Linked DNA regions of Cricetulus griseus. The protein of the gene in region 2 interacts with the protein of the main gene of each other region in a pairwise test. Links are inferred from orthologs where the notes say so. Each region holds a gene or a part of one and is shown on either strand. Other genes may lie near its edges.

The links.
Region 1: the proteins of Flacc1 (region 2) and Sult2b1 interact in binary tests that used the Homo sapiens proteins (3 or more experiments, as listed by UniProt). The two-hybrid records come from large-scale screens. The link is inferred for Cricetulus griseus from reciprocal best matches to the Homo sapiens genes FLACC1 and SULT2B1.

What each region holds. Positions count from the first base shown.
Region 1 is NC_048599.1:154,631,461-154,634,800, reverse strand, and holds the end of Sult2b1 (sulfotransferase 2B1), read left to right. Parts: intron 1-1,391; coding exon 1,392-1,572; intron 1,573-2,586; coding exon 2,587-2,819; 3' UTR 2,820-2,825; downstream 2,826-3,340. UniProt on the Homo sapiens protein: Sulfotransferase that utilizes 3'-phospho-5'-adenylyl sulfate (PAPS) as sulfonate donor to catalyze the sulfate conjugation. Responsible for the sulfation of cholesterol.
Region 2 is NC_048595.1:413,152,722-413,156,540, reverse strand, and holds part of Flacc1 (flagellum-associated coiled-coil domain-containing protein 1), read left to right. Parts: intron 1-470; coding exon 471-523; intron 524-2,260; coding exon 2,261-2,360; intron 2,361-3,819.

The DNA.
Region 1 (3,340 bases), on a different chromosome or scaffold from region 2:
AGCACACACACACACACACACACACACACACACACACACACACACACACACGAATGTGATGAAAAATTTAAGCGTATATTATACATACATATACACTTAAAATAGCATAGCCCACCCATTTTGAGCTGTGAAAATGGTCATTTTTTTAGGTTCACCCTGGAAAGTCCTCACCACCATTCTAAGGAAGAAATGTACCTTGGCACTCTGGAGCAAGTTAGGAATTTGCCAAAGACACACAGCAATTCCCTGAAGCCCCCATATTTTTTCCATCCTGGTAATTTCTTCTGATGGAAAGTTCTGGAAAAGGTTTCAGCACCATGTCTTTCTACCTACATCCAATCAGGTTTTATTCTCCAAAAACTGGGCCATGGAACCAAGCACAGCTTCTGGGCCACTCCTGGGGTGCCTGGCACCGCCCACATGTGTGTTTCTGGGACAGACCGGTGGCTCAGAGAAGAAAGGGTTATGAAACAGGAATGACCTGGAAAAGCAGGCTGTGGGGCTATGTACTGACCAGCCATGCAGAACGCTGCATCCCAAAGATGGCTGTGAGGTTGAGAGGACCTGGGGCTTGGGGCCTGAGTCTGAGCTTCCGGGCTATGTGACTTTGGACAAGTATCTTGCTATCTCTGGACCTCTGTTTGCCAACTAGGTTCAAAGCTGATGGCAGGATCAGCACAAATGTGAATGAGGACTTTGGGTCACAGTCTGGTTCCTGGCACTTGAGCCAAGTGTCACAAGGAAGATGGCAATTGAGTTTATCAGTGGCAAAGAGCATATCAAGAAATCTTGTGCTAAGATGTGGAGGTGGGAAGTGTGGGAAGGAGGGGCTCACACCAAACCACTCTGTCCTTGAAAATCAGGCCTGGATAGACTCTGTCCCACATTCTGGGGAGTCACTGAATCGGGGAAGCTAGGGAAGAGTGGCGGAACTGAAGGGCTAGGAAGGAGGCTGGAGCAGGCAGCCTCGGAAAGGGCTTGCAGACGTGAGGGTCTGCGAGAGAGAGGATGTGATGTGGGCTAGGATAGGGATATTGGGGACCTAGAGATGAGGACACGGGAAAAAAAAAAAAAGGCATGACAGGTATCTGGGCTGAGGCAGATAGGGTAGGGTAAACCCTAGAGACCGGTGCTGGGATGTTGGGAAGGGTCAAGGAGTCTCTCCCACAACTGTCCACTTCTGACATACAACAGGGTTCTCTGTAAGCTGCAGGGCTGACCTCTGCCAACTTACACTCCCCCACCCCCTGCAGAATCCTCTAGAATCCTGGAGGACAGGGAGGCCCAAAGCTTTGACTTGGAGGTGGGGAAATTGAGACAAAGAGTCAGGAGCCCCTCCAGTCCACCCAAAGTGGTCCCCACTCTACCGATTATTCCTCTTTCCACCCCAGGACCTTCGAGGCTCCGTGCAACGCCTCTGCGAGTTCCTGGGCCGGCCACTGGGTGAAGAGGCCCTGAGCTCTGTGGTGGCCCATTCTGCTTTTGGTGCCATGAAGGCCAATACGATGTCCAACTACACACTACTGCCAGCCAGCCTGCTGGACCACCGCCAGGGGGCGTTCCTGCGCAAAGGTACCACTGTGTGCTTCTAGGTAGTTCATAGCTTTGGTGGGCCTTTATTTTTCCAGATGCCATATGGAGTGTACAGGGTCACCTAGCCTAGTCTTCACTCTTAGCAAGAGGTCTGGCATTCCAGGTTCCTGCTTGCTAACCTGCCTCCATCTGGGTGTCTCCCTGGAACGAAGCCTCCTGAGTGCTTCCATATCTGGGTTCCCAGGATCCTGTGTATTATACAGAATAATTAAGTATTTAGTCGGGTGTAGTGGTGCTCACCTACCAAAACCAGCCACACAGAGTTGAGGCCAGCTTGGACTACTTTAGACTCTGTCTCCAAACAAAGCAGGACCAGGTGGTCCAGGCCGGTCCCTCATCTCCAGGCCCTGTTGCCATGTGGTTTCATGTTCTAAATTCCAAGAATTGGGAGTGAGGATATCTAGGTATATCAGTCCCCCTTGGGGAACCTCCTGGCCTCACCAGAGGTGACATGACATGTAACTAAAATTCAACAGGCTATTCAAATGGTCCTTTTCCACACAGGCAAGGGGTAGACCCTAATAGTCACTGTGACATGAGGGACCAGCACTCATGATGGCATGCTTGTGGGGCATCTTGCTGAGATGAGGCAGCTCAAAGGCTTTGGAAACCTCAAACTGGTCCATTTGTGTACAGCCTTCAGAGTGCCTGGTCCCTGGGGTGCTCTGGCCGTCAAGTCACATGGCTAGAGGCCATGTTGGGTACCTGAGAGGTACTATGTGCTGGAAGCAGCAGCTCCTAGGGGAGGTGACACACAGGTTATAAAGTGGGTGTTTGGGTGCTAGGAGGGAAGTGAGTTCCCAGAAGAGATCTGGGAGGCCACAGGTCAAAAGGACAAGGCTGACAAGAGTCACCTAGATGTGAGAGAAGGAGGCAGTAAGCATGGGGGGATCTGGTTAGGTGGCACAGATGGTATAGTTGGTCATGGTGAGTGGAGGCAGAGGGGGACACCCCAGCAGCTCCTCAGTGGTCCCTTCCTCTGGTCCCTTCCAGGGATCAGTGGTGATTGGAAGAACCACTTCACTGTGGCACAGAGCGAGGCCTTCGACCGTGTCTACCGTGAGCAGATGCGGGGACAACCAAGCTTCCCCTGGGACATGTCCCCAGAGGACACCAGCCCTGATGGCGAACCTGACCCTGAGCCCAGCCCCAGCCCCAGCCCCAGCCCCAGCCCCAGTCCCAGCCCAGGATCCTCTGATAACCCTGACCCAGCATCCTCACAATAAACCTATCAGTCCAATTGCCCTTTCCTCCACGCCACACTGTCAGGGGCAAGTGGGAGACGCGCCACAGACAGAATGCAAAAGTGCCACAGAGGGCCAGTGAGACTAACTTCTCATCCCATTGCTTGGGAGGTAGAGGCAATAGGATTGCAAATTCACATTCAGCCTGGGTTACTTGGTGACCATATGAAAACAACATGAAAGGGGTGTGGAGACCCACACTGGGCATGAACTCAACAGGGATGCCAGGCTGGGGCCTGACCCCTGGACCTGGGGGGTGGGGTGGGATGGAACCCTGGGTCTGAAAGAGGACTGGGGAGGGAGCTGTGGGGAGGGACTCTGGAGTTGGGAGGCTGGGGGAGGGGATGGCTGGGTTTGAGAAAGCCATGGAGACACATGCCTGTGTTGTCAAGAGTTTAATCTGAGCAGAAATAGAGGGAAGCATTCTGATGCTTTCCCTCAGTTCCCACAAAAATCCCGGACATACCCAGTGTCTCAGTGTCCCTTGTTCATCAGCCTTGCTC
Region 2 (3,819 bases):
TATACTTTGCTTGTTTTCCAGTTTCCTAAAGAGAATATGTGGTTTTCAGAACCATTGTAAAGGGACAAGTGTTACTAAAAGGAGAAGCAGGTGCATGCTGGGAGGAGAGGCAGGTGCATGCTGGGAGGAGAAGCAGGTGCATGCTGGGAAGTGCTGTTCCTTCTTCCCACAGACAAGCATGTACTTCCGAGGGTTCTTACTAAAATGGTTGAGCAGAGCAGGTGAGTGTCGATATCACTGAGAAGCATATGTGTCAAGGAGCGCCAGGCCCCACCTCCAGATGCTCTGCATTAGTTGGCTCGGGCAGGATCCAACATCTGGGTTTTTAATAAGCTTCCAGAGTGACTGGGGAGTCATAGGAAGATTTCATCACCTTGGGAGGACCTCGAGTGTGGTGCTGAGTAGTTCACATGAGATTTGGAAAGTGTGCCTGTCAGAAATAGTGATGCCCTTGTTTTCTTTCCATTCAGATGGAATGAGCAAAGAATATAAGTATCTGAAGAATATGTTTCACATGTATCAGGTGAGATTCAGAGTTGTCTGATAGATTCTGAGAGGATGAGAAGCAAGGCTCATCTCTGATTGACAACATGTAGAGATTCTAACATCTTTCCACCACAGTGTCACTACTGTACCCAGCAGGAAGCATGAACCAGAGGCTTCCATGCTTGACAGACCAACCGTGCAAATCTGAAGAGGTCTATTGAAAAAAACTGTTTGTGGTCATCAAAGTAATAGCTGTTGACGGTTTTTCAAAAAGGAAATGGGGGGAGGAGAGAAGGGCTAGAGAGATAGCTTAGCAGTTAAGAGCACTGGTTGCTCTTCCAGAGGACCCTAGATTCAGTACCTACATGGTAGCTCAAAACTATCTCTAACTGCAGTTCCAATGCCCTCCCTCTTCTGGCTTCCTCAGGCACCAGGCATACACACAATGCACAGACATAGGTGCAGTCAAAACACTTATCCACATAAAACAAGTAAGTGTCTCCCCCCACACACACAGTGGAAATAACCAACAACAGCAACACCTAAAAGAAAGAATTGTCACTCACCAGAGGTGACCCCTGCAAATACCTGTGCTTTGCTTTAACTTTCACTGAGACTATGGCATAGCGAATCTATGTACATTTTTGTATCTTTTCACTGGGCATATTAGTGCCTCTCCTTCCTTTTTCATGACTGCCCATCCTAATGAACATGCCTTCGGCATCTCTCTGTCCCCTTCCTGTTGACCATGTGCTGTTTCGGTCACTTGCTGTGATGGAAAATAGCACTTTGAACACAGTTGATCCTAGCAGTGGAGTACTAGTCATGCTAGTCAAAGGAATGAACAGATTTAAGGCCTTTCACGGATTTGGTCACGTTGCTATCCAAAAAGTCTGTCGCATTCTACACAGTCCATGAACTCAACGCTGGAGTTATTTCAGAACATAGCCCATTCCTTTCATCCCTGAGCTGGTTGGCTTTTTGTCAGCGTGACACAAACAGGAGGAGGGAGCCTCATTTGAGAAATTGCTTCCATCGCCTGTGGACAAGTCTGTGGGCATTTTCTTGATTAATAACTCTTGTGGGTGAGCTCAGCCCACTGTGAGTGGGGCCACCTCTGGACAAGTGGGCCTGGGGTGTATGTAGAAGCAGGCTAGGCAAGCCATGGAGCCAGCCAGTAAGCAGCACTTCTCCATGGTCTTTGTATCGGTTCCTGCCTTGAGATCCTGCCCTGACTTCACTCAGTGATGGAATAGAATGTAGGAGTATAAACTAAATAAACCCTTTCCTGCCCAAGTTGCTTTTGATCTGTCTGTTGTCACAGCAATGGAAAACAAAATAGGACAATTCCCCAGACTTGATCAAGTTCCAGAGTTGGAGCTAGCTCTCTTACAGGAAAATGCAGAATCGGATGTGATCTCTGAAACAGAGAGCCTTTCCTGTCTTCAAAGGAAGTTGAGATCCAGCTTGGCAAACGCTGTTTGAAGTTTGTAGATAGCCCTTTGACCCTTGAGCTTATCCTAGTTCCCCACTGAGCTTAGCTGGGGCTGGAGAGATGGCTCAGCTGTTAAAGGGTAGGCTCATAACCAGAAACATAAAAGTTTAGCCGGAATTGTTTTTAAGTATCACCCACATAGGGGCCCCTTGGTGATGCCCAGTTGAAGGGAGAGCAAGGTCCCAGTGCTCTGCTGAGTGCCCAAGGGTGCTGTCAAAGCATCTGCAGTGCCCACCCCCATGTTATAGCTCTTTTCAAAGTGCCTCTGTGCCCCCACAGGATAGCGTTTATGATGAAATGGAAGATACATGGTCCAGGCGGAAGGCAGAATGGGAGAAGGATGAGAAGATGGAGCGAGAAAAGATTCTGTTGCAACAAAGTGAGTAACACAGAAACTACTGGCCTTTTCAACCATAACAAGAGTGTCAAACACAAAAACAAACAAAACCTGCTGTCAATCTTGACCTTGACTTGAGGGAAGGGGCCCTGGATTTACCAAGGGTGAAAGGCCAGATGATGAACTTTCTGAATGAACGGTGCCTTGCATTGCTAAGAAACAAAGGACACCGAGGGCAAGACTTGTTTTGTTGTTGCTGTTGTTGTCTGTTTAGTTGGTTTTTGTTTTTGTTTTTTTTTTCATTTCAGACACATTATTAATGAAGGGATCCAAAACTTACATGTTCAACCATCATGGGTTGGAACAAATATGGGAACTGGGACCTATAAAGAATGTGGAATCTAAAATCCAAGGAGGAATTCTAGAATTAGAATTTAAATTATTCAGCTGAGGGGGAGAACAGGGCGGGGAAAGGGGTGGGGACAACACAAGTCTGTTATACTGACAGCCTCCATGTCCCCCACATACCCCACAATAGAAGCCATGATTGGTAAGTATTTTCAATATTTCTAATACTTGGCTAGAGCTTAGATCAAAATGCCATACAGATGCAGTTCTCACTCACTGAGCTTCCTAGGAAAGGAAGAAGGAAGGGGTAGAAATTGTCCGGGGGGGGGGGGGGCGCAGCTGAAGAGATGGCTCAGAGGTTAAGAGCACTGACTGCTCTACCAGAGGGCCTGAGTTCAATTCCCAGCAACCACATGGTGGCTCACAACCATCCGTTATGAGACCTGGTGCCCTCTTCTGGTGTGCAGATATACATGGAAGCAGAATATTGTATACATAATAAATGAATAAAATCTTTAAAAAAAAAAAAAAGAAATTGTCCCTGGGTCTAGAGGAATAATTGAGACAGGTGTGAGCCTTCTACACACCTATTCCAAAGTCTATGCCAGCTCCATTCATTGTACATTTATTGGTTAAAATCCAATTAATCACTTAAATACAAAGGTTTCTGGGAAAGTCAGCTCTCCTAGTAAGGACTGCCCAGGCTTGGCAGCATGAGGATGCTGGAATTGAGGCTGGAACGAGATATGGAGGTACATATGTATAGGGCTTTTCCTGGGATACTGCATCACCAGAAGAGCTCCACATTGAAGAAAAGAAAAAAACTAAGTCAGGGTGCAACCCCAGTTAGCTTTACATCATGTAGCCCACTGGAGTTACCCAGTCAGCCCAGAGACACCCACCATCCCTGTAGCTGGACACCGAGGGAATTTGTGTTTGCTCTTCCCTTCCTCCTGTTTGGTCCTGGGGCTCTGCTGCCAGATCTTCCAGCCCTAAATACAATGAGCCTACCTCTGCCCCAGTGTTGGGCATAAACTTTTATTATGAACAATCTGGCTAGCTAAGAGCGTTAAAGAAGAAAACGCCCAAGAATAAGCACACTCATTACTTCAGCAGAGGAAACAGAGCAACAAGCAGAAGCTAGAAACTAAAC